Callithrix jacchus: one gene and its partners. The protein of the gene in region 2 interacts with the protein of the main gene of each other region in a biochemical or structural test. Links are inferred from orthologs where the notes say so. Each region holds a gene or a part of one and is shown on either strand. Other genes may lie near its edges.

What was found.
Region 1: the proteins of GIPC1 (region 2) and LRP2 form a complex in vitro, tested with the Homo sapiens proteins (2 studies listed by BioGRID). The link is inferred for Callithrix jacchus from reciprocal best matches to the Homo sapiens genes GIPC1 and LRP2.
Region 3: the proteins of GIPC1 (region 2) and RGS19 form a complex in vitro, tested with the Homo sapiens proteins (2 studies listed by BioGRID). The link is inferred for Callithrix jacchus from reciprocal best matches to the Homo sapiens genes GIPC1 and RGS19.

What each region holds. Positions count from the first base shown.
Region 1 is NC_133507.1:60,280,019-60,290,065, reverse strand, and holds part of LRP2 (low-density lipoprotein receptor-related protein 2), read right to left. Parts: intron 8,174-10,047; coding exon 7,985-8,173; intron 5,798-7,984; coding exon 4,877-5,797; intron 4,735-4,876; coding exon 4,569-4,734; intron 4,200-4,568; coding exon 4,041-4,199; intron 2,597-4,040; coding exon 2,307-2,596; intron 1,288-2,306; coding exon 1,084-1,287; intron 343-1,083; coding exon 313-342; intron 213-312; coding exon 1-212. UniProt on the Homo sapiens protein: Multiligand endocytic receptor. Acts together with CUBN to mediate endocytosis of high-density lipoproteins. Mediates receptor-mediated uptake of polybasic drugs such as aprotinin, aminoglycosides and polymyxin B.
Region 2 is NC_133523.1:13,273,454-13,284,297, forward strand, and holds the start of GIPC1 (PDZ domain-containing protein GIPC1), read right to left. Parts: upstream 6,512-10,844; 5' UTR 6,379-6,511; intron 6,097-6,378; exon of another isoform or gene 5,937-6,096; intron 3,961-5,936; 5' UTR 3,906-3,960; intron 2,091-3,905; exon of another isoform or gene 2,002-2,090; intron 1-2,001. UniProt on the Homo sapiens protein: May be involved in G protein-linked signaling.
Region 3 is NC_133506.1:59,547,992-59,558,832, reverse strand, and holds the start of RGS19 (regulator of G-protein signaling 19), read left to right. Parts: upstream 1-5,656; 5' UTR 5,657-5,744; exon of another isoform or gene 5,745-6,225; 5' UTR 6,226-6,304; intron 6,305-6,594; 5' UTR 6,595-8,835; coding exon 8,836-8,865; intron 8,866-9,063; coding exon 9,064-9,185; intron 9,186-10,685; coding exon 10,686-10,760; intron 10,761-10,841. Other genes in the region: protein LKAAEAR1, read left to right, coding at 828-991, 1,385-1,805, 1,950-2,072, 2,153-2,212. UniProt on the Homo sapiens protein: Inhibits signal transduction by increasing the GTPase activity of G protein alpha subunits thereby driving them into their inactive GDP-bound form. Binds to G-alpha subfamily 1 members, with the order G(i)a3 > G(i)a1 > G(o)a >> G(z)a/G(i)a2.

The DNA of each region.
Region 1 (10,047 bases), on a different chromosome or scaffold from region 2:
ATGGCAATTGTCTACACCATTGCAGACGAACTCACGAGGTATGCACCTTCTGTTATTGCACATAAACTCCGTGGTGGCATTGCAGTCCCTGAACAGGCACCCTTCCTCATCACTGCTGTCACCACAGTCATTGTAGTAATCACAACGGTAAGAGTATGGGACACAACGCCCATTGGTACAGGTGAAGGCTGTCAGTGAGCAGGTGTGGAGTGCTAAGAAGAGGAAAAAACATAAGAACAAACCCTCTCTATTAAAGTATTATCCTAATTTTTTAAAAGATACAATTAAACAAAACGGACACTTTGAATTTACCTTCCAAGGCAAAAAACGCTGCAAAACGGACTGCATGCAAAGTGAGATAACACTTTAAATTAGTCAGATTATGTACACCTTTCTTAAACAAATTGTTTTATGTACAAACCAATTAATTAAAGCACAAATCAAAGTCATTCTATTTCTCTATACTCTCAATTTATCTCAACCAGAGAAAAGCATGCAATTATAGTTTATTTCAGAAAAATAAAAACTCCTAGCCCCTATCACAATCTGCTAAGAAAAGGTAACCAACCTCAGACCGCCCTGAGAAAGTCCACTGTGTCTTACTCACTCCATTCAGATGGAAGCTGAGGATTGGAAATTATTTTCATAAAATTATTGAAATAGTGACTTTTGTGCTATGAAAATTAGTAAAATGATACATTTCCTTAGTCCCAAGCTAAGCCATGCTTAGCATGTACCATGTCTCATGCTAAGGGTTTTTTACGTATTGTTTCTTTTACTCCTCACAAGAACCCTAGTAGTAGCTCCATTCTACAGATGAGACGTCTGAGGCTTGAGACATTAAGTAACTTTCCCAGGGCTATACAGCTTACAAATGCAATCACCAGGATAATAACTGTGCTTGTGCTCTTAACCACTGCAGAGGTGATTTAACAGAAACCGTCTGGATTATCAGAGGAAACATTTTTCAGCTCTACCAGGATGCCTAGTCACACATTTCAAACCCATTCACATACAGCAGGATTCTGTACCAAACATTTGACATCAAGATATCATTAGCTCCTACCAAAAGTGCCAACTCACCACAGACACTTTCCATCTCATCACTGCCATCCCCACAGTCGTCTTCAGTGTCACACTTCCACTCTTCTGAGATGCATCGCCCGTTGGAGCAGGTAAAGGAAGATGCACCACATCGTTGACCGTTGTCCACAATGCAGTGCTTCTTGTTGTTGGCCAAATACCAGTTGCCCTCATGTGGACACTGGCACTCAGCACCATCTGGTCCTGAATGAAGATAGTCCCAGAAGAAGAAAGATGGATGCAGCCACCATTCACATTGTCTCCTCCTCCACAATAGTACTTGCAACAGTGTCTACATTAAATGCTAAGACAAGCCATGGAGATTCTGCCCATTAACCTTTCAACTATATTCTGAGTCACCTTTCCATCAAGAAGAGCAATCACCAATTTCTAATAGAGGCCTGATTCCTTCTACACAACAGGAAATATCAACAACTCTCTTTCTAAGCATAATTTGCAAAGCAACAACATCAAAAGGCATATCTTCCCATGAATTTGTCGTTCTTTATAAAACGCATGATAAAGCATGGAAGATCCCACCTGCAAATATCTCCAGAAATATTTCAAACTATAAATAATATCTCTTAGCAGAAAATGTAAATCCTTTTAATAAGGAAGGTAGGCTCACTAATGGAATTCCTAGTCAAGACATTAAGTGAGGCATCCAAGGCCTTCATCTTTCTAACTCCATCAAGCTTGTATTTAAAATGCCTTCATAAACTGAGCACCATGGCTCATGCCTGAAATCCCAGCACTTTGGGAGGCAGAGGTGGGCAGATCACTTGAGGTCAAGAGTTTGACAGCAGCCTAGCCAACATGGTGAAATCCCATCTCTACTAAAAATACAAAAATTAGCTGGACATGGTGGCATGCACCTGTAGTCCCAGCTACTAGAGAGGCTGAGGAAGGAGAATTGCATGAACCCAGGAGGCAGAGGTTGCAGTGAGCTGAGATCGCACCACTGTACTCCATCCTGGGCAACAGAGCAAGACTCCATCTCAAAAATAAAACAAAATGCCTTCATAAAAAGGGCTCCATATAGAATAGAAAATAAGTCTACAAAGTCTTCCTCTCAAAATATAGCCCCAGGTCTGTTTTATAAATTATCCTAAAATCAAAGAGAATCTGGATATTTCTTCTCCTGGTGAGAGCTTCAGCTTTCCTTACCAATTGGTATTGTGATCCTTATTCTCATGTTTCAATTTTCATGGTCAATGCCTTACCTGGTGCACAGATATGGCTGCAGCCCCCGTTAAACTGTTCACAAGGGTTGTTACACTGTTGTTTCTGGTTCTTCACAACAGTGTTGATTCCCCGGGGCTGGAAGAGCAAATTTGTGGTCATTGCAATCTGACCTGATCCGTCATATTTATTAGCTCGGTAAATTCTTTGTGTGTATAAGTCAGTCCAGTAAATATGCTGGCCATAGAGAGTCAAGCCAAAAGCATGAACATGTGCATTGACAATAACTTCACGATCCATGCCCGTCAGAGTGCTGCGTTCAATCCTTTGCCTAAAATGAAGCAAAAAATAAAAATAAAAAAATAAAAAAGCTGAAATCTCAAATGAGTTAAGTTTTCAACTGGCAACCCAATGCATGGGCCTCATCATTGTTTACACAAGCCCCCAACTTCCTTTTCAAGTGGCGTATGTGGCAGCTAGAAATGTTTCTTCTGGTTATGGGAAGTCTGATTTGCTTATGCAACAATGGCCTATATAAAATCATTGACTTCCAAATATGAATAGTAATCCTATAAAAGGAACGAGGTTGACATTAGAAACAGGAAAATGTGAAATAACCCATGTAATGCATGGAACTCAGCGTTGAGCACAATAAAACAATGACTTTTCTATCCCACATTTTTAGTGGCATTTTCAATTTGATATTTATTGAGCACCTCGAGGTATTTATCTAGAATAAGCCAAGCTTAGACCCAAAGCATCACTGCTTTGTTTCAAATAGGAGAATAAAGAAAAGATCAGGATGTTAGGTACCTGGCATCACAAGACTAAAATTCCAAAGAAATATGCAAGAAAAATTAAGATTCCCTATCTGTTGACACCAGCCATTATAGGCAAAAATTTCATCCCTTCAAGTATTCCTTTAGGATGGCTGGAATATGAAACATTTGGAGGGTACTTGGAGAAGTTACATATAAATTAGAGTGGACAAAAGGAAAAAATTAAGAAATGTGCTGAGGAGAACCTTGCCAGAGAAGAAAGAGTAAAGAAAAGAATTTTCTTTTCTTTTTTTTTTTTTTTTTTTTTTTAGACGGAGTTTCACTCTTGTTACCCAGGCTGGAGTGCAATGGCGTGATCTCGGCTCACCACAACCTCTGCCTCCTGGGTTCAGGCAATTCTCCTCCCTCAGCCTTCTGAGCAGCTGGGACTACAGGCACGTGCCACCATGCCCAGCTAATTTTTTTGTATTTTTAGTAGAGATGGGGTTTCACCATGTTGACCAGTGATCCACCTGCCTCGGCCTCCTAAACTGCTGGAATTACAGGCGTGAGCCACCACGCCCAGCCCAAGAAAAGAATTTTCTAACAGACACTGAATGCTAAAGCCCAGAAAAGAACTTAATATCACTGGGCATTTAAAGTCATTCAGATTTGATGGCAGTTACCTAGGGCCTGCAGAATGTAAATTGAGTAATTTCATTTGTAGTTATTAATTGATAAAATACATTTATAATTATAGCTGATATTATAGATATATTTAGTAATGCATCTTTAGATATCTTTTAGTTCATAATTATTCAATGCACGATATAGATAAATTTTCACAGGTATGTTCACCAAGTTACAATATAAATATAGTTCCTAAAACTGTGATTCTATAAATTTAGTTAATGTCTATCTGGCATATTACATTTTCATCACATGATGCAAATCCCTCTTCTTTGGAAATGGGAGGAAAAACTTTTAACACCCACATGAGTAACCAGAGACACCTACAGACTAGGATCCACCCAGTAGAGAAGGTCCTCCTCATAGTCCAGAGTCAGCCCACTGGGCATGACCAGGCTGCTATTCACAATGGGTAGCCGGAAGTTTCCTCCCAATGTGGCTCTCTCGATTTTGGCATACATATCCCAGTCAGCCCAATATAGGTACCTAGTCATATGGAAGAAGTCAACAATTAATTCACAGGAAACCTCATAGTCCTTTGAAAAAAAAAAGGACAACATACTTTAATTGCAAATTTCCAGTAACATGGCCAAAGAAACCCCATTTCTACTTACACAACTTGTCCAAAAGGGATCTGTTGAGTCAGAGTGTTAACTTTCTAGTATGTTGCCAACCTTTCCGCCACCAAAGGGAGCTACACTCTGCACCTTCCTTCCCAGGTAAAATCACTCAATGTACTTTCACCTTCGAATCTGTGGCCATCGTGTTATAAGCTCAGTCTATGAACATTATTTCAGGCCCCACTCTTTTGAGAAATAAACAGATAGAAATATAACAAAGAAGATGATGGCATACCCTTGGCAGGGATCTAATACAATTGCTCTTGGTTTTGAAACACGGGCTATCACAGTGCGGTTAGACCCATCTTCAGCCATGGAATTAATCGTCTGGTTGAGGTAGTCACTGTAATAAATTCTTCTAGTAATCCAGTCAAAGGCAATGCCATCAGCAGTCCCTATACCTGGACACATACCAGCAGACACACACACAAGCACACACAAAGGCATTAGAGTCTCAATATGCATTAGAAAAACTCAGTCATCCATGTCTGTTGACCCCATTGTGTCTACTTCTGGGATAAGCAGCACCTGGAGTGCACTTACCTGAAGCAATGACAGTTGGAGTATGGATTCCTGAAGACAGGCTGACATAGGAAATCTGGCCACGTCCAGAGACTAAGTTTTGTGTGAAGTAGATTCTATCACTTACACTGTCATAGTCTAGAGACATGACAGTTCTTTCCACATTTATCGTTTGGAAAGGTGGGCTATGGTTTTCAGGGTCCAAATGTAAGCTTCTCAAGGAATCAGACAAAGTAAAGATGAGAAAATTTTCTGTTGAAATGGCACAACTCTTGCCATCACTTTGCAGGGTCCCAAAGGCACAGTCACATTTTGGGTTGTTCAATCCAGGTAGAGCAAAGCAGAGGTGAGAGCACCCACCATTATTTTCCAAGCAAGGGTTGTTGTTGACCTCTGCTGGTGACCGGGGCTGGACTTCCTTATCAAAGACAGTCACATCTCTTAGCCAGTTGATATTGTCCCTTATCACTGTGGGTGGGTCTGTGTTCTCTGGTTCCTTGCTAGCTTGGAAGACTTTTTTCAAATTCCTATCTACCCATATGATAGAATTTCTAAAAACAGTGACGCCGTAAGGAGTTGGGTAACGACTGCCATAACGAATCACTTCAGAGTTCCCTCCACTGATATGAATCCTTGCAATTATATCTAAAGAATCATCAACCCAATAAACGTAGCCATCGCTGCGGTCCACTGCTAAGCCCCGTGGTGTGACAATGCCCTCTGACACAAGCACAGTTCGATTGGTACAGTCAAGGGAAGAACGCTCAATCTTTGGTCTCTGCCCATAGTCAGCCCAGAAGAGGTATCTGTTCTTGGGATCTACAACGATATGCCTAGGCATGTCCACTGTGGCTTTAAGAAGAACACGGCGGTAAGTAGTATTGATCCGCAGAACTTCTATCAGTGTTTCAGACACAAAGGCATTGGTGAAATAAATATTTCCTATAGGAAAATGAAAGTGCATGCTGATCAATGGAGAAGGAAAAAGAAAAAAAGGGAAAACTTTACAAATTCAGAACAAAATATATAAGGTTGAGGTTTGCATCACTACATGTTGTCTTTTCCAAGATAATAAATAAGTGTCTCAGTCTAGGCTTAGAAAAATAAATACTTACTCCTAGGAATTACAGAAATTGAGTCTTCAGATTTAGAGAGAATGTACCTATCTTCAGCTCCTAAAGTAGATTAGAATTCATAGCAACATCATAACACACTTTCTACTGAAAGATATATTTTCCAGAATGTCCTTCCTTTTCTACCTGAATCACTGAATGCTTAAAACCTACTTGAAAGACTCTAAATATACATTGTCATAGCATAACTTCTACCCCAATGTGATAAAAGTAGCAAAGAGGGGGCACCAGCAGCATCTCAGGTTGTTATTGATGTTATCAAATGTTCTTTGTGCTTAGGGGTAACATGAAGTTTTTTCTTAGTCCTTCTAACTAATGTTGGTGTTTTCATCCATGGGCCTTCTAAAAGCCACCAAAACAAAAGTCCATTTCGCTTTGGGTCTTATAGCACAATGTAATGCTAGAATAAAAAGATAACTTTCTGAAGATAGTATTTAGAGACTGATCCCAAATTACTGATTCCATGTAGTTGAAAGCCTGTTGCTGGACTATCACTACTACTACCAAGACACACATATTTTCTTCCTATATCTGCTTCAAATCACCTCTAGAGAAATCAGGCCAATGCAAAATGTGTTACTGATAGATTTTTTCATTACCTAACTCTACCTGCTATGTATGTATTTGCTCACTTCCAAACCTTTAATCCAGAATTGGCAAACTTTTTCTGAAAAAGGGCCAGATAATAAATACTTTAGGCTTTGAGGAGCATATGGTTTCTTTTACAAGTACTTAATGTTGCCACTGTAACATGAAAGCAGCCATAGACAATACATAAATAAATGGGCATAGCTATGTTCCAATACAATTTTATTTACAAAAACAGGCAACAGGCTGCATTTGACTCGCAAGCAAGCTTGCTGACTACTGCTTTATCTACACCCTCAGAAATAGTAATTTGTAATCAGGAATGAGAGTTAGAAACCCAATTAAAGCTTTATTTAACCATATTACCATATTTACTTTTTGCAATAAACTCTTATTATAGTACTTAGATTTTCATAACACATGCTAATATTTCTAAGTGATACCTACCAAGCTTGATCCAATGTTACTGATTTTATGTAGAGTTGGACTGTATTCCAAAATATATAACAGCACTAATTTTGAGGTGTATTTTTACTTAAATGAGTGACAAAAATGAGTGGTAATTTAAGCTTACGTGCATGAATCAATACAACTAAGTGAATGCAATACTGGAATAGGCAGTTAAATAAAATTGGTAATAAAATATCTCATAATTAAATAATTTTTATATATGAACAAAAGGAAGTAATTAAGAATTTGGCAACTAAAATTCTCAACTTTAAAGAAAATGAATCCTGTTCCATAGTTTATATATTTTATCCCTTTCTCTTGAAAATTTAGAAAATTTCTAATGCAGAAACTAGGTACAAATCAAAGTGAAAAAAATACACATAATTTAATATTTTAGACATTTTTGTCTTCAGATTATGTTAATAGAAGAAAATGATAAGAATTTGTTATGAATCTGTAAACTGAAACACCATATCATTTATCAAATAGATACACAGCAGCCGGGTGTGGTGGCTCACGCCTGTAATCTGTAATCCCAGCACTTTGGGAGGCCGAGGCGGGTCGATCACGAGGTCAAGAGATCAAGACCAGCCCGGTCAACATGGTGAAACCCCGTCTCTACTAAAAACACAAAAAATTAGCTGGGCATGGTGGCGCGTGCCTGTAATCCCAGCTACTCAGGAGGCTGAGGCAGGAGAATTGCCTGAACCCAGGAGGTAGAGATAACGGTGAGCCGAGATCACGCCATTGCGCTCCAACCTGGGTAACAAGGGCAAAACTCCGTCTCAAAAAAAAAAAAATAGATACATAGCTTAACCTAGATTCAACATATCTTAAATGATCTTAATACTTGTCTAGAAACAAATCTGTAGCACATGTAGTTAGACTAAACTTTTTCTAGCACAAAAGAAGACGACAGAGATGTAAACAGATTAAAATCACCATACAGCTTACATACCTGCTACCCAATCCACTGCAATACCCCGGACTCCATTTTCCCCTATTCCCTGTGTGACAATGTTCATCAAAGAAGATCCATCTGGTTTAATTCTACGGATTGCATTATCAGATATCACTGAGCTACTAAAATCACACCAATAAATAAAACCAGAGGACATATCAACATCCACATGCAGGGCATTTCGTCCTGGAACAGTTGAGAAAAGATCATTAAACAATGCCGCCACTGAAACTAGAACTTTTAAATGTCTGCCCTTCCTCTCAAACCCCCATTCCCACCACTGCTCTGAGCATCTCCCCATTAGGAAATGAAATCCTTTTTTCCCAGTTGCAGTGGGCAGACCTACAGCCCACATCTTGATTTCTAAATACTCTTGCCCACAACATGGAGCTGTGGATCCCAGGAGAAATACTGACTATAGGGTTAGCCAGGGAAGGTATGAGGTGAACATGAAACATCTTATTGTACCAAGAAACAAGGTGTACACAGAAGTACGCCACAGAAGTGGTCACTTGAAGAGGCTCTGCCTGGCCAAAATGGATCAACTAGGACATCAAAAGAAGAATTACAGTAATTGATTATAACATACTGAATTTGAAAAGATAAAAATTTGACCCACAGTGATAATACCTTTTTTTAAATAAACTGGGGAGAAACAAAGAGCTTTCGTTTATAGAAGACTATTACCTAACGAATGTAAAGGAAATGCTACAATAAGAAAATCACCATTTTGCAATCCTCAATTAAATAATTATTTCAGACAAGGATCATCAATGGCTGCCAAAACCGATGAGTAAAAGGTGCTTGGGAGGCAAGATGTTCACAGGGCGTAAGAGAGACTGCATAGATTTCACACCAATTAAGAAGGAAAAAAATAAACTTTTGAAAAGCAGTGATATAGCAGGGACCACCTTAACCAAGTAATCAAACTCAAGCATCACTAAGAACAGGACAAACTGACACTATGTTCTTCCTAATAAGATTTTGTAACAAGTACACAGCATAACCTATATTCTTGCTAAAAGTATTTAACCTTGATCTAATCAAGCAATTAGACCTAACTTCCATTTCACAAGAACTGCAGGATGAAAATGAAAGACAAGCTAAATATTTAGACAAATCCTCAGTGTGGGATTCTCAAAGACAACAGGTCTGCCTCTCAAAACATCAATGTCATGGCAAAAAACTGGAGGCAAGTACTCCAAATTAGAAGAAACAAATGAGATATTCCCAGTGCAATGCATGAATCTTGATTAGATCTTGGATGGAACAAAGAGCTATATGTAAAATGTTGTGAGGCCAGCTGGAGAAATATGATTATGAATATTTAATAATGCCCTTTGAGGCCAGGCGCGGTGGCTCACGCCTGTAATCCCAGCACTTTGGGAGGCCGAGGCGGGTGAATCACGAGGTCAAGAGATCGAGACCATCCTGGTCAACATGGTGAAACCCCGTCTCTACTAAAAATACAAAAAAAAATTAGCTGGGCACAGTGGCACGTGCCTGTAATCCCAGCTACTCAGGAGGCTGAGGCAGGAGAATTGCCTGAACCCAGGAGGCGGAGGTTGCGGTGAGCCAAGATCGCGCCATTGCACTCCAGCCTGTGTAACAAGAGTGACACTCCATCTCAGTAAAAAAAATGCCCTTTGAAACTGTGTGCTAGCATGTATAGGGGTAAAGTGGCATGGTATTAAAATTTATTTTCAAAAGGTTCATAAACAATGAATGTGAATATATTTGCATGTACACACACACACACACACACACACAGATTGAGAGCTCCAATGTGATGAAATGTTAACAACTGTTAAATCTTGGTAAGGAGTCTGAGGATATTTGCTATATCTTTCAATATTTCTGTGTTTGAAATTTTTTTAATGAAAAGCTGGGCAAAAAAAACTATTGAATTTGTAATATTTTTACAAGATGATAACTTAGATCCATAACTTTTTAGATATGGAAAAACAAAGATGAGTCATGAGTCCATGTGAACATGACCATCAGGCAGGAGGACATGTGGCCCTGGAAGCTCTGACTCCTTCTGCTAGGTGCATTTCTGT
Region 2 (10,844 bases):
CTGAATGACTACAGGGAATGGAGCCCCCTGCTGAGCCACAATGGAAGTGTGGCAGGAAGCAAAAGCAAACCTTTGCTGAATTCAGCCATTGAGACTTTTGAGGTTACCACTAAGGCTTTTAGGGTTACTACAGCAAAAATTGTCTTGATGGACATAAATTTATTTTTGTTTCTTTTTTTTTCTTTGAGACAGAGTCTCGCTCTGTCACCCAAGCAGGAGTGCAGTGGCGCAATCTCAGCTCACTGCAACCTGCGCCTCCTGGGTTCAAGTGATTCTCCTGCCGCAGCCTCCCGAGTAGCTGTGACTACAGGAGCACACCACCATGCTTGGATAATTTTTGTGTTTTTAGTAGAGATGGGGTTTTGCCAGGTTGCCCAGGATGGTCTTGAACTCCTGACCCCAAGCAATCCACCCACCTCGGCCTCCTGAAGTGCTGGGATTATAGGTGTGAGCTATCGTGCTGGGCCCCTGTTTCTTTATTTCTCTCTTTCTGCATTCTCCCCTCCCTTCAAACACTTTTTTTAGTACTTACTAGATTCTGTGCACCATTTTAGATATTGCCTTCAATAAAAAAAAAAAAGATCCCTGACTAGGGTCACCACGTGCAGTTACACGAGTTGTACACTGTGCAAAAGTATTAGACCAAGGCAGCAAGTGGGACTGAACTCAGCCTGTGCTCTGCCTGCAAAGCTATGCTTCTTGGTGTGGTGTCTACCAGGAGGAAGAGATGACTTTTTTTTTTTTTTGAGACGGTGTCTTGCTCTGTCATCCAGACTGGAGTGCAGTAGCACCATCTTGGCTCACTGCAACCTTGCCTCCCAGGTTCCAGAGATTCTCCTCTCTCAGCCTCCCAGGTAGCTTGGGACTACAGGTGCATATCACCATGCCCAGCTAACTTTTTGTGTTTTTAGTAGAGACAGGGTTTCACTATATTGGCCAGGCTGGTCTCAAACTCCTGACCTTGAGATCCACCTGCCTTGGCCTCTCCAAGTGCTGGGATTACAGGTGTGAGCCACCACGCCTGGCTGAAGAGATGTCTTTCTAATTCACTCACAGATGCTATATACATAGGCTAGCTGGGGCTCTGTCCACAATCTCTGGAAGAGGAAATGCACAGTGAGCAGGGAAAGGTGTAAATGTTTAATACTATTTTTTTTCTTTCTTTTGTTTTCTTCTTTTTCTTTGACAGTCTTGCTTTATTGCCCAGGCTGGAGTGCAGTGGTGCAGTTAGGCCTTAGGTGGTGAGCTCAGGTGATCCTCCCACCTCAGCCTCCTGAGTAGCTGGGACCAAAGGGGCTTGCCACCATGCCCTGCTCATTTTTTTATTTTTTAGAGACAGGGTCTTGCTGTGGTGTCCAGGCTGGTCTCAAACTCCTGAGCTCAAGCAATTCTCCAGCCTCAGCCTCCCAAAGTTCTGGGATTACAGGCATGAGCTACTGTGCCCAGCCTCATATAATTTTTAATGTTGATATGGAGACAAAGCAAGACAAGTTCTATAGACAAGATCAGGAAGTGCCTCTCTGAACAAGTGATGCTGAACTTGAGACCTGAATGACAGGAGGAAGCACCATGCAATGATTTGGGGCAAGAACATTCCAAGTAGAGAGAACAGCCAGTAGAAAGGCCCTGACCTGAGCTGCAGCTGGGTGTGGCGGCTCACACCTGTAATGCCAGCACTTTGGGAGGCCGAGGTAGGTGGATCACCTGAGGTCAGGAGTTTGAGACTAGCTTGACCAACATGGCGAAACCCTGTCTCTACTAAAAATACAAAAATTAGCCAGGCGTGGTGGTGGGCACCTGTAATCCCAACTACTCGGGAGATGGGGTTTCACCATATTGGTCAGGCTAGTCTCGAACTCCTGACCTCGTGATCCGCCTGCCTCAGCCTCCCAAAGTGCTGGGCTCACAGGTGTGAACCTCCCTGCCCGGCCCGCACCCAATCTTATGTACCCATTTGTTCACGAATGCATTCCTACCTGGTCCATCTCCATGATCACTCACCTAAACTACTGCTCTTGCCTCCTGGTGGGTTTCCCAGCTTCCACCCTCACCCCCCACGACTTCGTGTCCAGACAGCAGCCAGAATGGTCCTGTAAAACAGAAGTCACGTCACATTTGTCTCTGTTATGACCCCTCCTCGGGCTCTGGCCTCACTGGAAGGAAAATGGTGTCAGCCAGCCACCACAACCAGCCTCGGTTTGTTTTCCTAGTCAGGGGTGTCATCTGTTGTGCAGGCTGCAGTGTGGTGGTGTAATCATAGTTCACTGCAGCCTCCACCTCCTGGGCTCAAGTGATCCTCGTGCCTCAGCCTCCTCCATAGCTGGCACTACAGGAGCACACCACCTTACATGGCCAATTTTTATTTTTATTTTTGAGACAGAGTCTCGCTCTGTCACCCAGGCTGGAGTGCAGTGGTGTGATCTCAGCTCACTGCAACCTCTGCCTCCTGGGTTCAAGCAATTCTCCTACCTCAGCCTCCCTAGTAGCTGGGATTATAGGCACATGCCACCACGCCTAGCTAATTTTTGTATTTTTAGTAGAGATGGGGTTTCACCATGTTAGTCAAGCTGATCTCGAACTCCTGACTTCAGGTGATCCACCTGCCTCGGCCTCCCAAAGTGCTGGTATCACAGTCATGAGCCATGGCACCTTGCCTTAATTTTTTTTTTTTTTTTTTGGAGAGATGGGGTCTTGCTGTGTTACCCAGGCTGGTCTCAAACTCCTGGGCTCAAGTGGTCCTCCTGCCTTGGCCTTCCAAAGTGCTGGGATTATAAGCATGAGCCACTACATCCGGCCAATAATATTTGTTGAATGAATGAATGGATGACTGAATGATCCCAATATCCACACACCCAGCAGTCTGGGTGCCTGGCCCCAGGAAGACAAAGGCTCTCATCTCTGCAGCAAAAGCACAAGTCCCATTCTGTGGCCCCCACATCTCTTGCTTCCCAGGTTGGTGCTAGGCACATAGTAGGTGCTTCAGCTAGCCAGGAAGGCAGGAATAGCATCTCCCTCACCTTTCATTGTCTGTGTGGTTTCTTTTTCTCTTTTTTTTTTTGAGACGGAGTCTTGCTCTTGTTGCCCAGGCCAGAGTGCAGTGGTGCGATCTCGGCTCACTACAACCTCTGCCTCCCAGGTTCAAGTGATTCTCCTGCCTCAGCCTCGCGAGTAACTGGGATTACAGGTATGTGCCACCATGCTCAGCTAATTTCTTGTATTTTTAGTAGTGACGAGGTTTCTCCATGTTGGTCAGGTTGGTCTCTACTAAAAAAACAAACGAAAATAGCCAGGGATGGTGCTGCATGCCTGAAATCCAAGCTACTGGGGAGGCTGAGGCAGGAGAGAATTGCTTGAACCTGGGAGGTGGAGGTTGCAGTGAGCCAAGATCATGCCACTGTGCTCCAGCCTAGGTGACAGAGCAAGACCCTGTCTCAAAAAAAGAAAAAGAAAAAAGCCTTTGTCATCCGTCATTACCCCCCCAACTCCACCAGCTCTGTGCACTGGGAGGCAGGAAGCTAAAAACCTGTCTGGAACCTGGCCTCATCTCTTACTAGCTGTGTGGCTTTGGGTAAGGGTCTTAACCTCTCTGAGCTCCAAGGAAATCACACATGTGCTTGCAATAGTCCTGGTACACAATAAGCTTTTTGTAAATATTGGTGACAATTATTACTACTGCCATCTGTACCAAGATCCAAACTTCCAAGATCCCTACATCCTGACCAAGATTCCCAACCTCCCTACTCTCTCTCTGTCCACACCCACTGCCCTGGTTCATGCTGGCTTCTGTGTCCCCACCCGTGAGTGAGGATTAACAGCAGGGAGGAAAGTGAGTGATTAATGAATCTGCCTGCCACAGCCATAAGAGGCTTCATGGCCTGGGTTCAAATCCCACCCTTGCCACTTACCAGCTGTGTGGCTGTGGGCAGGTCACTTCACTTCACAGGGCCTCAGTTTCTTCATCTGAAAAATGGGTAGAATTCCTGTCACTCTCAAGGTGGTTATGGAAATCCAAAGAGATTGCCCACGTATCCCATCTATACTCTGCCTCAGACTCCATGTAAGGAAGCTGTTGTCATTATTACTGGTATCGCCTTCTCTGCCCTGCCCTGCCCAGGAATATCCCCGCCCTCTCTGCCTGCCAAGACCTACTCCAGGCTCACTCCTCCAGGCAGCCTCCCAGGCTTGCCCCAGCATGTTGGAACCTCCCCTGTGGTACAGACAGCTCAGGCCCAGGAACTTAATTGCATGCTGCCCTGGCAGAACTCTTGTCTTCCAGCCTCAGGCTGTCATTTAACTTCATGTCTCTATTTTAAAACATAAATGAGATGGCATCATTGCCCTGACTGAAACTTTACAACGGTTTCCCACCTTCTGGAAGAAAAATTGCAAACTCCTTACTGTGACCCACAAACCCCTGCAGAATCCCTGCTCTGGGTTCATCTGCTCCAACTAGATTCCAAGCTTGGTCCAGCCTAAAGAAAGACCTTGGCCTTGCCCGACCTGTTTTTTTTTGTTTGTTTGTTTTGTTTTTTTTTTTGAGATGGAGTCTTGCTCTGTTGCTCACGTTGGAGTGCAGTGCCACGATCTCCTCTCACCGACACCTCCACTTTCCAGGTTCAAGTGATTCTCCTGCCTCAGTGTCCCAAATAGGTGGGATTACAGGCATGCACCACCACGCCTGGCTAATTTTTAGTAGAGGCAGGGCTTCCCCATATTGGCCAGGCTTGTCTCAAACTCCTGACCTCAAGTGATCCACCTGCCTCGGCCTCCTAAAGTGCTGGGATTACAGGTGTGAGCCACCTTGCCCAACCCCCTTATCTGATCTTCCTGGCACTGGCACCCCCTGCCCACAACCCTCTATAGTACTACCCACACATTTATTCATAGCACTTAGTGTCATCTGAAATTATCTTCTTTATTTACTTGATAACTTGCTGTTGGCTGCTTCCTTTCAGAGTGCCAACTCCTCAAGAGCAGGAATTTTTGTTCATTTATGTTATTTTCTGTGCCAAGAACAGTGCCTAGCACGTGCCCATAGTAGGTGCTCACTTGAAATATTTGTAGAATGAATGAATGTGTCTCAGGTCCTCATTCTGACTGCTCTCTGCAAACCTCCATCCTCAAAACAGCCCCCCAAACATGCCTACTGTGGGGTTACTAACTCCCCACTTTCCCTGGCTCCCCTCACACCTGAACGCAGAGATGAAGAAGAGAAACTTCGACCTGGATATTAACTGTTTGGGCTGGAATTTCGGCATCCCGGCCCCCTCATCCTGGGAAGGGCCTGAAACTTCGCAACCCCACAGCCATCCAGAAACACAGTGTGGTCGGCAGGAGGAGGGAAAGGGGTTCCTGGGAGCACACAGAAGCTAGGGGAAGGGGGAAATCACGCCCAGGCTCCCCCTTCCCACACCGTGTTGCCTTGGAGAGGAGGGAGAGAGGCCTCTGATTCACTCTTGAAAAACCGGCTCCTGGGTGTTTCCCTGGAGAACGCCTACTGCTCAGCCTTGGCCCAGGTTGCCAGGGGGGACCCAGCAGGCCCAGGACCCCAGCATCCTGGGCCCCTGCAGATGTCACTCTTCTCTGGACCCAGGTAGTCAAACCTGCCCTCTCCAGCTCAGGGTAGAAGGGACATGAGGGCAGCTTCCTGTTTGAGTGGCTGGTATCTGGTGATCTTTGGGGGTTGTGGGGGTGGGGGGGAAGGAAACAAAAGACCAACAAGTGTGGCCCTGATGATGAGTATGAGGTAGGGGTGGGAGGGGTAGGGGCTGGAGCTGCTCAGCAACAACTGAACTATGGAGCCAGTGGGTATCAAGTCTAGTGGCTGAGACTCCAGTTCTGGACCCTGGGGGCATGAGTTCCAGCCCCAGATGTGCCAGTTACTAGCTGTGTGACCTTGAGCAAGTCACTCCACCTCTCTGAGCCTGCTGCCTCACCTTTTTTACAAGAAGGCACAACACCTCCCATGAAGTGTTTTGATTCAATGATCCGCATGGTAAATGCCTGACACGGAAGCGCTCCATAAATGCTAGCTGGGGTGGAGTTTTTCATGATGATAATTATCCAGGCCCTGGTCCTCACTGCGTGCCCCAGGCCCTGGAGGGTTCAGACGCGGTTCGCTCAGGGAAAATGGACAGGAAAGGGTCAGAAACATCGACCCCACGCCTGTCCCCCCCGGGATGGGGGCCGTCTAGAAGGGGGAGGGGGGAGGGGCAAGCCCGGAGACCCCTACCTGGTGCTGGGAGGCGTTTGCCCTCTGCCCTCCAGCAGGAAGGGAGCTGCCCCCACCACCCCCACCCTCGCTCCCCCCAGGAAGGGGCCTCCGGCATCCCCGCGCTCAGCCTAGACCTCCAGTCGCGTCCCCGGGGCCCGCCCCACCTTGCACGATCCGCCGGATCCTCGCGGGCCCGCGACATCCGGGGCCCCCAGAGTGGACACATCCCTCCCGCCGGGGCCACTCACCTGCGCCGCCGCCACCGCCTCCCCGCGCGCACCCGGCTCGGCCCTCCGCAAACTCCTGCCTGGGCCTCTCCCGCAGTGGCGCCTAGGGGGGCGGGGCCGACGCCCGCGGAAGACCAATTAGCGGCTGTCTTCCGGAGCTCGCGGCCAATCCGCGCCTCCCGCTTCGGGTGGACCCGACGGAAACATTCCAGAGGGATCCCTCCGCCTCACCCGGCTCTTCCCGGCTCCCCCTGCGCCGCAAAGCAGTGGACCTTTCCGCCCCGCCTGAGCCGCGGCGGGCTGTACCACCAGAGGGCTGAGGAGGGGGGGCGGAGCTGCGGCTGGGTCCCGGCCAATCGCGGGGAAGGAAGGAGGCGAGCGGCCAATGGGAAGGAAGCTGGGGCCCCTGAACCACGTGCTGTTGGCTGAATGTCCGTCTAGGGTGCCCTGGGTGGTGAGGGGCGGGGGAGTCAGGTGACCGAGGCCAAGTTTCGGGGACAGGATGCGAACTCCCGACGTCCGGGAAAGTGGACCGTTTAGGAGGCCTGGGTGGGGGGTCGATGGCAGCTCCTAACCCAGTTCCCCGCCCGGCCTCTGCCCCAGCCTGGCCATCCTCGGAGCTGATAAAAAGTGCATTCATACTCTAGGGGCGGGCGGGGGGCAGAGATAAATACGGAGGGTCCCGAGCGTCCCTGCTTCCTGGAGTGTACAATGGAGAAAGGCATTCATTCATTCATTCATTCACTCACTCATCAAATATTTAATGTGCCCTCTGCTCCGTGCCAGGCTCTGTCCTACAGACAAACGCGTGAGCCAGTAAGCCGAATATGCTTCCAGTAGAGATAACAGAGTGTGCAAAAGCCAGAGAGCTACAGCACGCTTTAGGATAGTGCAACATCGTGGGAGCTGGTAAATCAGTGTGGAAAGGCAAGATGGAATGAAAGACAAGAGTGAGATAGTTTTTATTTGCTTGTTGATTTGTTGGTCACTTACTACGTGCTAGATCACAGAGGGTACCCAGCCAGCCTCCGACCTTTGATGGATCTGTCTCCATCTGACTGTGAGGATGGAGGCTGACTGAGTCTCTCTCGTCAACCCCTCACTCCCATCTCAAGCTGCCACATAACAGGTTCTCAGCAAACCTGTGTGGACAAATGCACCAGGTAGTTTATAAGGAACGGGGATTTCTCAGGAGGGCACAGATCCAAGAAACATGAGTCACAAACGCACCTGGAACAGGCCAGGACGCTCAGTTCCCAGGACAGGCGAGATTTCCTTGTTCTAGTTCAAACCCAGCCACTTGGACAGCAACTGAATGCTGCGTGTTCTGGGAACTGTAGTTCTTGGAAGCCTCTAAGCGCTGAGACCCTGCTCAAGCTTCATCGGATGACTGGTTCTTTGCAGTTTCCAGGGTGTGACTGTGTGCAACTCAGCCCCACCAGGACCTGCAGAGGGGTAAAGTGAAAGGGGAGATGGAGACCCGGCATGGTGGCTCACGCCTGTAATCCCAGCAATTTGGGAGGCTGAGGCGGGCAGATCATGAGGTCAGGAGATCAAGACCATCCTAACACGGTGAAATCCTGTCTGTACTAAAAATACAAAAACTTATCCGGGCGTGGTGGCACGTGCCTGTAGTCCCAACTACTCGCCAGGCTGAGGCAGGAGAATGGCTTGAACCAGGGAGGCGGAGGTTGCAGTGAGCTGAGATCGCGCCACTGTTCTCCAGCCTGGGCGACAGAGCAAGATTCTGTCATGAAAAGAAAGAGAAAGAGAGAGAGAGAGAGAGAGAGAGAGGAGAGAGAGAGAGAGAGAGAGAGAGAGAGAGAGAGAGAGAGAGAGAGAGAGAGAAGATGAAACCTTGAGCTTCACTGCTGAGGATTGCTTAGTCAGCCCCACCCAGCTGGCAAACACTGAGAAGGCTGTGGCAGGCCAGGCAACAGGCACAGCTATTGTCCCTCTCTTCCTGTTCTGCTGACCTCTGCCATCCCACTGAGCAATAGGTGCCTGGGCTGGCCAGTGCCTTCTGTGGGACTGTGCTGCCTGCCCTGCCTGAGCCTGGCATCTGAGCTGCCCCCTGCACTCTTGGAGAGCCCAGGGGACAGCATGACTGAGGCTGCAAAGTCCTGAGCCAGGATCCACCTGGCTCCTGTTGTGTGATGAGGAAATGCCCAGAGAAGGGGTGATGGGATTATGTGATTGCTCAAGACACAAAGCGGCACTGGGCATCTCCTTTCTGATTTATTTTTATTTTTATTTTTTGAGACAGTGTCGGGCCAGGTGCAGTGGCTCAAGCCTGTAATCCCAGCACTTTGGGAGGCCAAGGCAGGTGGATCACAAGGTCAGGAGATTGAGACTATCCTGGCCAACATGGTGAAACCCTGTCTCTACTACAAATGCAAAAATTAAATGGGTGTGGTGGTGAACACCTGTAATCCCAGCTACTCAGGAGGCTGAGGTAGGAGAATCACTTGAACCCAGGAGGCGGGGGTTGCAGTGAGCTGATTTTGTGCTCCTGCACTCCAGCCTGGGCGACAGAGCAAGACTTAGTCTCAAAAAAAAAAAAAAAAAAATCCAGTTGGGCGAGGTGGCTCATGCCTGTAATCCCAGCACTTTGGGAGGCTTAGGCAGGCAGATCCTAAGATCGGGAGATTGAGACCATCCTGGCTAATGGTGAAACCCCATCTCTACTAAAAATACAAAAATTAGCTTAGTATGGTGGCGTACCCTGCTCACACCTCTCCTAGTCCAGCCAGCCCCATCACCTCCCACCCGGTGCAGCGGCTTCCACCCTGGTCCTCCCGCTCCACCCTCACTGTCAGCCCTACAGTCAGTTCTCTGCACAGCGGCCAGAGGGCGTCCGTGAGCACCCGAATCAAGTCACCTTCCTTCTCGACCAAGGACCGCACCCCCCGAGGCCATGTGTCCCCAAAAAAACCTGTCCCTGTGAGCCAAAGTGTGTTTTTTTTTTAGGAGTCACACCTGGCCACACTGATGTCCAGCATAATATTCCTGGGGAGCGTTGGGATCCCACGAAGGCAAACTACCCAGTTCCTGGCTCTGACTTCCATGTGAAAGAAAATCGGGCCTTGCCCCTCCTGACTTAAACTCTCAATTTCTCTTCCAACTCAGGAATGCAGGGCCTGGTGTGTCTCATTCCTAAACACACCCGGTCCTGCTCTCTCCTGCTCTCTCAGTTTCAGCCACATCAGGCTTGTGTGTGTGTGTGTGTGTGTGTGTGTGTGTGTGTGTGTGTGTGTGTTGGTTCCCAGATCCCCAGCCTAGGGGCCTCATCCCTGGCTCATTGTCCAGGAGCCCCTCCCTGCATCCTAACAAGCTCTGTGCCTTGGCTTGTGGGTCCGGGGCCTGCCAGCCCTCTTCCCCTCCACGCTGCAGGCCTATGGAAAGTGCCTCTGTCAGTTTAATGAGTTGAAAGATGCCCCCACCCTAAAAGGAATGCCCACATTCCAGAACCTGTGAATGTGACCTTACTTGGAGTAAGTGTCTTCAAAGATGTCATTCAGTGGAGGATCTTGAGATGAGATCATCCTGGATTAGGGTGGTTGGCCCCGAAATCCAATGACGGGTGTCCTTACAAGAGACAGAAAAGGAGACACAGACGCACACAGCGGGGAGGGCCGTGGCAGAGACTGGAGCAATGCAGATATGACCCCAAGGAAGGCTCAGGATGGCTGAAACCACCAGGAGGCAGGAGAGAGCCGCCCCCACTTGTTAATGCCGGGTGCAATGGCTCACGCCTGAAATCCTAGCACACTGGGAGGCTGAGGTGGGTGGAGTTCAAGACCAGCCTGGTCAACATGCGGAAACCCTGACTCTATGAAAATACAAAAATTAGTTGGGCATGATGGTGGGTGCCTGTAATCCCAGCTACTCAGGAGGCTGAGGTGGAAGAATCGCTTGAACCCAGGAGGCAGAGGTTGCAGTAAGCCAAGATCATGTCATGGCACTCCAGCCTGGGTGATAGTGAGACTAAATCTCAAAAAAAAAAAAGAGTGAAAGAGAAAAAAGAAAAAGACAAAAGGTCTTTCAGGAAAGAGGGGCTCTCCTGGAGCCAGAGTGAATATCTGCTTCTCCCTGGTGGGAGAGTTGAAGAAATTAGGGCACAGGGGTGGGGTCCCTGGCAGGTGTGGGTGGGGCAGAGGGAACCACCAGCTGACCCCAGGGCTGGGTTATCCTTCCTCTGCACATACCCTGACATGAATTATCATAGGAAAAAATGTTGCAGGTCCTCTTGTCTGAATCACTTTGTCACTTAATTATTCACTTAGCGAACACTCAGAGGGTCAGATTTGGGGCAAGCGTCACTCTGGCCACTGGTGATGCAGATTATTAGGATGTGAGTGGTGACCTCAAGGGAACTCACAGTTGCCACGGAGTGGGGGACA
Region 3 (10,841 bases), on a different chromosome or scaffold from region 2:
TACTCAGGAGGCTAAGACAGGAAAGTCAGCTTGAACCCAGGAGGCAGAGATCGCAGTGAGCTGAGAGCACACCACTGCACCCCAGCCTAGGCAACAGAGCAAGACTCCATCTCAAAAAAAAAAAACAAAAAACAAAAAAAGAATTAATTATTAATTAGTTAAGAATTCGTTACAAAATAAAGGAATGCACAAATAGATTTCCAAAATCTAGGACCTAGGACTCAAGATCCCAAGACACAGGGATCAGCAAAACCCAGCTCTGGTCTTGGGGGACACCTGGACCCCTGAGGCCCCAGACTTGCCCTAGAAGAGGTGAGGGGTCCCAAGTACCCCTTTCTGTGAACACCAGTGGCTGGTGCCAGGGCCTCCTTGCCATCGGAAGGGAATGGGCCTGAACCACAAAGGTCTCATGGCCGATGGCGCCACTCCACAAAACTAGCCCCAAAGATCCCTCAAGCCAGGAACCTGGGCCCACACCCCCTAGGATGGTGCGTCTGCAGCAGCCTGGAAAGGACATTTGCCAAAGCTAGAGAAGCCGGCTCTAAGCCTCTGTGCCACAATGACCCCTATGAGAGCACGTCCACGCCCCCCAGGGCCCTCCGGAGGGGAACCCCCGCCCTCACCACCCGCCCCACGGATTCGAGTGAGGCTCAGGACTCCGGGTTGCTGGGCAACCGCGTCAACAAGCCCCAGAGAGTCTGCGCTACACGGAGGTTCCACCGACCCAAGCAGGCAGCAAGTATGGGGTGTGGGGACCAAGAAGGGGCAGGACCTCGGCTCCTGGAGCTAAGGAGGGGTGGGGGCGTTCGCAGCCGCTGGGTCAAGCAATGACTCTGCCACTGGCCCTGGCCGGGCAAGGTGGCAGCTGTAGGCTGGGGCTGCAGACTCTTTTCCCCTCTCCCCATCGCGGACCCTCCCTCCTCTGTCACCTGCCCCCGAAGGTCTGCTCCCCACAACCATCTAGGCCCCAAGGGGAAGAGACAGCTGTCTGGTAGGAGTTGCTGACTGTCGGGAACCGGAGACATGGGGGCACAATGAAGGTGCTCCGGGGTCACCTAGAGGTCTCAATGTGGCGCCCACCCTGGCAGGGCCTGAGATCGACTCTGGGGTCTCGGCATTTCCTCGATTCAAACACAGCAGCCGGTAGGGTAGGAGAGACATTTCCTGCAACTGGGTTGATGAGAAAGTCCCAGTTGCCTTCAGGACTCTGGCAGGGCTGCTGCTCGGGAGAGGGAGTAAGCCTGGGCCGAGCTAAGAGGCTGGGGATGCGGGACCAAGTCCAACTGCGGAGAGCCCAGCGGGCCGGAGCTGGGGCGCACGGGGGTCCGCGAGGGGCGGGCAGGGCCCCGGGGCCCACCGACGGTACGCCCTCTTCCCTCCGCAGGGGGAGGATGCGGCCGCCGGCGAAGGAGGCCGGGCGCCAGGGCCCGCAGGAGCGAGGCGGGAAGAGCGCACCCGGCGCGGGGCGGGGTGAGGGAGGCGCCAAGGCGGCGCCCTCGACGGAGCCCTCGATGGAGCCCCCGAAGCCGGGCTGGGCCCTGACGCCGCAGGGACTGGCGGCCTTGCTCCCCGCGCAACGCCGCCGCCTCCTGCTCTTCGGCGACCTGCTGGAGGATGTGGGCGCGGCCGCCTCCACCTTTCCGCGCGGGTCGGCGGAGCCGGGACACCGCATGCCAGACCCGCACATGTGGACGCAGCCGCTCGAGCTGCCCTCGGAGCGCCAGAACCTGCTCCTGGGCGTCCTAAAGGCGGCAGAGGCTCGCGGGCGAGTCCGCGACCTGCGGCGGCGCTACACCCGCATGCGGGTGAGGGGAGGGGGCGCACGGGGCGCGCGGAACGGGGCGGAGCGCGCGGGACGGGGCAAGGTGGGGCGCGCGGGCGGGGCACGTGGGGCGCGTGGGGCGCGTGGGGCGCATGGGGCGCGAGGTCAGCCACCCGAGTCCCGGCAGGCCGAGGAAATCGCGCTGCTCATTCAGCAGCAGAAGTCCGCGCGCGCCTCCATCCGGCTCGAACTGTTCCTGCCACCACAGCTGAGGCCCACGCGGATCCCGGATCCCCTGGACCGCCAAGAGGTGCGGGCGAGCCCCAGTAGGGGCAGGGAGGGGGCCCCCGCCTTCCTCTGCACACACCCGGCCCCAGCCTGTCCCCGCAGCGGAGGCGTGTGGAGGCCATCCTGGAGGAGAACGCGGACAGCAGTATCTTCCCGCGGTGACGGCGACCCAGAGCGTGCGACCTGCCCCAACCTTCCACATAAAGTTATCATTCTCCGAAGGCTCTCTGGTCTTTCTGCTCCGGCTCCCCAGGCCCCCTGAGGGGAGCGGGGAGCATGGACGCTCCCTCTCCCACGGACCTCACAGACTTACTTAGTGAAGACATGCAAGTGGCTGGGGTGAAAGTAATGGGTCAGAGACACGCCTACCCCCAATCCCGTCCTGCCCCATAGGCAACCTGGCGCTCTGCAGGTCCATGGGAGGCCCCCAGTCTTGAGGACGATGGAGAAAGAGCCTGTTTCAGCAACAGTCACACCCCCAGAAGGAAGGGCAATCTCAGGATACAGGTCCGAGTGTGGGAGAGGGCGGTGCTGTGGGGAGCGAAGTGACCTAAGCTGGCCTTTGAAGAGGTACCAGCTGTACCAGGGGACCCAGAGACTGAGGAAGGGGAACCCCCTCTGGGAGGCTCCTGCTGCCCTAGAGAAAAAATCTCACCCTCTGGTCTTTTTCCCCATCCTGAATAGCCTCCTGTGACCCCCTTAATGCCCTGCGCCTCCCTCCCAATCTCTCCTCTCTCTCCTCCCCCCTCCCCTCTCCCCCCTCTCCCCCCTCTCCCCCCTCTTCTCTCTCTCTTTCTCTCTCTCTCTCTCTCTCTCTCAGGAAACCACCCATGTCCCATTCTGACAAACAGGCCCACAACCTACAAATCCCTGGACTCTGAAAAGCCCCCAGGTTTCTGGGCAGACCTTACTCTTCTCCCTGACATGGGCTCTTTGCAGAAGCTGGGGCTTCCCTGGGGCCCTCCTCCTTTTCCTCCCTCCCAGCACCCTGTCCAGCAGGCTGCACAGAAGCGGGAACTACAGGAACTCAGACAAACCTCTCCTCCTGCCAGGGGGCTCCAGCTGGCTCTGCCTGGAGCCAAGAGCAGATTTGGAAGGAGAGGCAGAGGTCCAATCTGGGGCCCAGAAGGGATCCTGCTCAATGGCAGCCAGTGACACTCCCCAACCCTGGCCGGAGTGGGGACCTGCTCACTCTGGCCCCTCAGCCTGTCCTTCTCCCTGCGCACCTGGCCCTTTACTCTTTCTGGGCTGTTGCTGCCCTAGGCCTTGACCCAAGCCCAGACTGTATACAGAGCTCAGAAGTCAGCTTACAGGGAGGGGAGACATGTCAGGAGGGGGTTCAGGAAGCGAAGGGGAAAGAGGAAGGAGGCCAGGGAGAAGGGGCTTGTGCAGGGCAAACAGACAGGGAAGGGGAGGCCATCTCTGTCCAGGAGTGGCAACCACTCACACCCTGATGTGCTTGTGGCATATGGTGACACCAGCCCTGGTGTCCTCTGGCCAAACTCCCTGCAGCCTGGACCCCAGGATTCTGTCTTGGGGACTGACTGAGTGCGTAGAATGAGTTCATCTACTAGGAGAATCATATATTATCTCATCACTTCTCTGAGACTCCATTTCTTCATCTTTAAAATCAGGATCTTGGTGCAGTGCCCCACACGCAGTAAGTGCTCCAGAGGGGATGGGTCACTCTGCATCAGATAGGCACTAAGGAAAGAGGGGCAGACACAGACACAGCAACCCCAGCACCTTTCGAAGGCCAACAAGGCAGGGACCTCAGTGACTGCTCCAGGGTCAGACCGGCACACCGGCCCTCTGATCCCCATGAAAGGAGGGGGCTAGGTGTGCAAAGGAGCTAGGGAATAGGGCCCAGGACATTTCTGCAGGGCCTTGGGGGACTCCTGCCTGTAGAAAGCTCTGTGGGAAAGGAAGGCATGTGGGCCAAGGCCCAATATACTGGGGGACCGTGAGGGGGCAGAGGGTCCTGGGTTCAAATCCCACCTGCATCATCAACTGCCCAGCTCACCTGACTCCACCCGTGTACTTCAGGGATGCTCTGTGCAGCAGCCAGGGGAATGGAGAGCAGGCCCAAGGGGCCAAAGGAGATGGGGCAGTGATGGGGGGATTGCAGAGTAACCCAAGGGCACAGGGAGGGCACTGACCTTCATCCACTGCCGGCTGCCCACACCTGCATTTCCCCACAGCGGAGACAACAGGCTGACCGGCTGGGCGGGGTCAGCCTGGTTGTGTGGCCTGGAACAGGTGCTGGCCCATCTTCACTGAGCCTCCCTGACCTCACCTGTGCCCACCTCAGGAGTGTTACCTGGGCTGAATAAGAAGCAGCCTGCCTCTTGTCCCCATGGGCTTCCTGGCCCGTGCCTTGCCTGGCCTGGCTTGGCCTGACAACATGGCATCCACAGGGTTCTGAGGTCAAGTCAGCCCTAGCGCGGGCGGAATGGGCTGCGGGGCTGAGGGCGGGGCGGGGCACAGCTTCCAGAGGCAGCCTGTCCTCCAGGGCACTCTTGCCTCTGGCCTCCCCCTCCAGGCTTCTGCACAACCCAGCAGCCCAGCGCCCTCCCCTCCTCAGTGCTCCTGCCTCTCCCCAGGCCTTTCCTGCCTGCCCCCACAAATCACCTGTGCCCCCAGCAGCAAATCCAGGCTCATCCGTGTTGCTGGCTTCTGGTCCCACAGCCTGGCCCACAGGGACTCGCAGATACTGGTCCTTGTCCATTGAATTAGGTGCACAAGCAAGATCTCCAGCTCCCTTTCCAGGCCTCAGAGTTCTGTGAAGGTGTACACCTGACTTGTGCAATTGGAATGCATTTTATGGGCGGCCCCCGACACTAGAGGTGTCCCGGCCAAGTGCTTGGGGAGGACAGGAGTTGCAAACGGGGCAGGAGGGGCACAGATGTTCTGCAGACGGTTCCAGAGTAGGGTCAGGGCCACCTGACACACAGCATGATGGGACGAGACGCCAAACCCGGTCTGTACCGAGTCATAGAGGAGGCGAAGAGTTGGCCAAAGGGACAGGGCATTCGTGGCAAAGGGGGCAGTGTACGCGGGTCGGCAGGGACTCTGCCAGGCCCCACAGAGACATTCAGTATGACTGCGGATGCAAGAGCCGCGCCCCCAGTTCCCCCCAGCCCAGAAGCCCCCACAGCGCGAAAGGCTCTTAACCCAGTTTCACAGACGAGGCTCAAAGGGGCGAGGGGTGCGCCGGGCTGCGGCGCTCGCGGACCAGTCCTTCACTGCAGCCGCCCGTTTCCCTAGCAGCGCAGGCAGCACGCGGGCCCGGCTCTCGCGCGTCCACGCCAGCGCGTGGCGGGAACCCCACTCGAAAGGCAAGGCGGGGACGGCCCAGCCGAGCGGCGTCGGGGACCACGGCCAAGGCCGGTCGACTACAGAGCAGCTCGGGCCGCCGGGGCCGGGGCTCCCCTCTCAACACCCCGACCCTCCCGCCACCCCCGAGCGACCGTGGGGACCGAGCGCGGGCGGGGCGGGCTGCTGGGCCGAGCGCGGGGCGGGGCGGGGCGAGTGGGGCGGGCCCGGCGCCTCCCGGCGCGAGGAAGTCCCGGCGCGGCTTTGGGGAAGTGCGGCCGACGCGCCTGCGCACTGCCCACGCCCCCCCACCGACGGCCTGGCGGGACCTCGGAGCGCGCGGGCCGGCGGCGGCGCGAGCGGCTCGGGAGCGCGGCTGGTGAGTCCGCGCGCGCGCGCGGCGCGGGGACGGCGGCCCTGCCCGTCCCTGCCCGGGCCCGGGGACCGTGCGGGGCGGGAGCCGTGGGAGCCGGCGCGCGGGCCTCGAACCCCACGGGCTCGCGCCGCCAGGTCCACGTGGACCCTGGGCCGCAGTGGAACTGCAGCCCGGCCCCCGCGCGTGGGGGAGGGGGCGCTAGGGCCGGGTTCCCCTTTTTCTGGAGCTCAAAGCCCGGGGAAGTGATTGCTCAAAGGTGGGGGCCGGAAGAACCCAGGTTTCCGCGTCTTCCTCCCCCCATCAGCCTGGTGAGGAGGGGCCGGGGCGGGACACCCTGTCCGCCCCCGCCCCCACCTCGCCGGATCTGGCCGCCACTCAGCCCTGCGAGCCGCAGGGGAGGTGATGCGACCCCGGCCCCAGCCGATCGGGGTCTCCTGGCGCTAGCCTCCCTCCTGCCGTCTGACTTGAGTCCCTACTGCTGCAGTGCACACCCCTTCGGCAGACAGGGTGCGGCCCACACCCAACCTGGCCCCTCCTGCCCCCACCCTGCCTTTGGGTCGCTGGTGAGTAGGGCGCCTTGAGGTAGGGGTGGGGGCATCAGAGGCTGGAGGAGGACACAGGCTCCCAGACTGGACCCTAAGAGCAGAGAGAGGAGCGCAGTGGGTGGGTCACCATCACTGTTTTAGAGGTGGGCTATGGTTTGCCCAAGCCAGATGGGGAGGGTGGCATATGGGAAAGGCCCTGGGCAGGAGTAGAACTGGGAATGGAGCCCCTCTCAACCCCCCCTCTCAAAGGTTGTGACATTTTTTTCTGGGATTGTCACATTTTCTTATTCTTTTTTTGGACTGGGCAGGCTCTGGGACGTTCTTTTTCCTTCTGTGGAGCAAAGCAGCAGCCACTCCCCAAGGGAGCCTCTATCCCCAGAGACCAGACGTGCCGCCTGTCCCGCCTCTCTCATCCCAGACTTGGGGGCCAAAGCCTGGGGGACTGGGGAAGGGGGATCCCCAATACCAGGATGATGAGCAGGGGAACCCTAGTTGAGACTCTGTATCCCCTAGCAGAGAAGGGGAGTAGCCTGGGGACATAGGTGGTCCCAGTTGACCAGAGAAGAGTACAGGAAGCCAGGTCCAGGGATGGTGACCAGGTCCAGGGATGGGGGCCAGGTCCAGGATGGTGACCAGGTACAGGGATGGTGGCCAGGTCCAGGGATGGATGGTGGCCAGGTCCAGGGATGGATGGTGGCCAGGTCCAGGGATGGATGGTGGCCAGGTCCAGGGATGGTGACCAGGTCTAGGGATGGGGGCCAGGTCCAGGATGGTGACCAGGTACAGGGATGGTGGCCAGGTCCAGGGATGGATGGTGGCCAGGTCCAGGGATGGTGACCAGGTCCAGGGCCTGCAACTGGGAAAGAAGGGGCTGGCCCCCTCCTCTGCAGCAAACGAAGGCCCTGCACCCCGGCCCTGCACCCCTGGACACATCCCCTCCTCTAGTTCAGAGCTGGGGCGGAGATGGTAGCCCAGGAGGGACAGTGTCCAGGGTTGGGGAGGACCCTGGGTGGGGACAGAGAGGAGGAAGAACTGCCGCCTGGGGAAGTCACAGCCCGGTCTGGTACAGCTACCAAACCTCAGGTTGCCACACCCCTTCCTTTCCCTAGAAACTCGACCCCTAAAAGGAAGCCCAGCTGCAGGGCTGCTTTCTGTCTCCTCATGTACTTGCTAGGAGCCCATGGGACCCACAGTTTCAGAGAAAGGTGGGCAGGTGGTAAGGGGCTGAGGTCCCCTGCACCTGCTTCAGACTTGGGCCGGGGCAGTGGGTACCCTGAGTGCAGAACTCCAGCATTGTCTCCTCTGAGCTCCATTTACACCCCTTCCCACAACCAGACAGAAACAAGCACTCAAAGGCCACAGGCTAGGGGAGGCATGTCAAGGAGGGTGACAATTGAGACAATAAAGTCGAACCAAGTTGTGAGCCTCCTGGCCAGGGAGGAGAGCAGCCGATGAGGAGGGTAGCGGGTGTGCACGGAAGCCCAGAGGGCCCTACTCTGGGCAGAGATGGGCTCGGGTGTTCACAACCGCCTCCAGGGCATATTGGCACCCTGTGTTTGGGATTCGAATATGTTTGGGATTCGAAATGGTGTCTCGGGTAGCAGAAGGGCAACTCACAGCCTTGGCGTTCCTGGCGCACCTCCCCTGCAGACGGTGCAGCCAAACACCAGGAAGGACTCACACCACACCACACCCCACCTATCAGCAACTCCGGGGCTTTGACTGGGGAGCAGGGTTCCCCCGCCCACTGCCACCCCCACTTCCCTGGCTGGCATGCCCTGCGGTAGGGCCTTGGTTCCACAGCGGTTTCACAGCCTAGAGGTAGAGTGGGCAGGAACAGAGGGAAGTCTTGGGTGGGAGGCAGCAGGACTAAAGAACCATGTTTGTGGGGGCACGTGCCTCCTCACCAGGGCCCTGCACCCCTTCCCACACCCTCAGGCGGTCCGGCCGTGAGTCCCACTTAAATCCTTAATGCAACAAGGCTAGCCTGCCGCCCCTGGCTGAGACCTCCGGGGCCTATGAACAGACCTGGACTCATGGGGGAGAGCTATTCTGCCTACTCCCCACCCGACACCCTAGAAGCGAGTCTGGCCACCACCCTCATGTATCAGTCGGTAGCCCCAGACTCTCGGGGCCCCTTTGGGAGGGGCTGGGAGTCGGAAGCCAAGAAAGAGGAACCCAGGCTTCCGGCTTCCCAGGGACTGAGCGGATGGGGTGTCCTGGAACCTCTTATAGGGGCCTCATCTGGGGTCCAGCCTGGGAGGAGGGGCCACAAGCTGCCGCAGTCCCCTCCTCCATGACTCTGGGCCCCCTCCCAGCCCTGCTGTAAAGCTTAGAGTAGGGGTAGGAGCGGTCAGCAGAGCCGGGTCCAGAGGTAGGAGCAGGCCCCGCTAGGGAGACACCCTCTCAGGACCCCTCCTAAGGGACAGGCCGGGGCTGGGGTTTCTGGTTCTCAGTCAGAACCTTGGCACCTCTCCCCAGACCCCCAGGCTGTGGTGAGGGTCTGAGAGCTGGCACCACGGAGCCTGGGCAACCTCCTCCGCCCACCCATGCCCACCCCGCATGAGGCTGAGAAGCAGGTATGCCACCTCCCCTCTGCCTCCGCTCCCCTGGGGGAGATGGGGTGGGGCAAGCTGAGGGGCCACAAGGAGTTGGGAGACCCCTGAACACCTGGGAGGCCAGAAGGGTCATGTCCCTGGGAGCAGGGGCCATGCATGGGAGGGTAGGCAAAAGGTGGGTTCTGACCTGGAGGCTGAGGTAGCCCCATCTCACCGCAGAACACAGGGCCAGAGGAGGCAGACCGGCCCCCTTCAATGTCCAATCATGATGCAGCACCTCCAGCGGCCCCCAGCCGCAACCCTTGCTGCCTGTGCTGGTGCTGCTGCTGTAGCTGCTCCTGGTGAGTGGGGCCTGGGGTGCCCAGCTGGGGAGGGGGCCAGGGGTATGGGGCCAAGGAGACCCAAGAGGGGTCCTAGTGGCTTCTGAGGCATCCTCTGCAGGCAGGATGCCTCTGCCACCTTGCAGCCAGCCCTGTCCTGTCCAGGGTCTTTGGGGCCCTAGTGATGAGTGGCAGGTGCCTTGGCCTCTGGGGGGGTCAGGGGGCTCGTGTATGGTTCTTGTACCTGTCTTGCCAGGGGTGCATCCAGCTGCTGTGTACACGCATGCACCCGTTCACATAGCATGTGCTTATCAATACTGCTGTGAGCCAGGCCAGGCTGGGCTCTGGGTGCCTGCAGTGGAGTAAGACGGGCACAGGCCAGGTGTGGTGGCTCACGCCTATAATCCCAACACTTTGGGAAGCTGAGGTGGGCAGGAGTTCAAGACCAGTCTGGCCAACATGGCAAAACCCCATCTCTACTAAAAATACAAAATTAGTCAGGCATGGTGGCAGGCATCTGTAATCCCAGCTACTCGGGAGGCAGGAGAATTGCTTGAACCTGGGAAGCGGAGGTTGTGGTGAGCCGAGATTGTGCTATTTTACTCCTGCCTGGGAAACAAGAGCGAAACTCTGTCTCAAGAAAAGAAAGACAGGCACAGAACCCCCCAGACTGTGTGGGGTGGAGGGACTTTCGAGGAGAGACCCAAAGAGGGAACCACTGGCCCTGGGGTGATGGCCAGGAGCTTCCCAGACAGCGTGCGCAGGGGGAAAAGAGCATGGGCTTAGAGAGGTGGTCTCTGGGCATCCCTGTGGGGGTGGGAGTGGGGCTCTCAAGTGGTAACAGATTTTCTAGGAGGGTAGAGGAGCTGGTGGATGTTTTCCTGCCTTGCCGAAGCCTGGCCCTACTCAGGCTTCAGGCCCTGGCTGAGGGGACAGTGCTTCAGCTGACCCATGAGCAATGGGGTGAGCAGGGGACAGTGAGGAGAGGGGGTGGGAGGAGTCCAGGGGCTTTGTCCAGAGGAGTCAGGACGTCTGGGTACATGACGTCTGCCAGCCATCCAGGTGCCCTGGAAAGAGGTCAGCTGGGTGTGGATTTGGGTCCAGCACTGACAGTGCTAGCAGCCAAGGCAGGAAAGAAGCTTCCCTTGAGAGCCAGGGATCAGGCTCCAGAACCTGACCGGTGTGGACACGCGGGTCTGGGACCCTCACGTGCGTCAGCCGACAAGACACTGCCAGCACGCCAGACCTGCAGTGGGAGGCCCCACTGGAGGGACAGGGATGGGAGTCAAGATCAGGCCTAGGAGCAGGGTCCTGCCCAGTGGGCCAGGGACGGGGAGGAGCACCAGGAGCCAAAGGGTCCCTCCTGGAAGGCCAGAAAGTCCCGGCCACTGGGGCAGAGCCTTTTGCCTGGGCACTGTGGCAGGAGCAGCAACCTGGACAGCATATTCCCTGGGGAACTGGGGAGGGACCAACAGGGAGGCCCCGTGTGCCAGGGCAGTGCTGCTTCCTCCCTGCCTCTAGGAACGAAGAGCGGCGGCGTGCGTGGCAGGCCTCCCGGGAGAACAAGCTGCAGCCCCTCCCTAGCTGTGAAGTGTGGTGAGTCCACCCGGCTGGTGTGTGCGCACTAGGGGGCCCAGGCCAGGAGACTCAGGCCTAACACAGCCCCAATGCTCACAG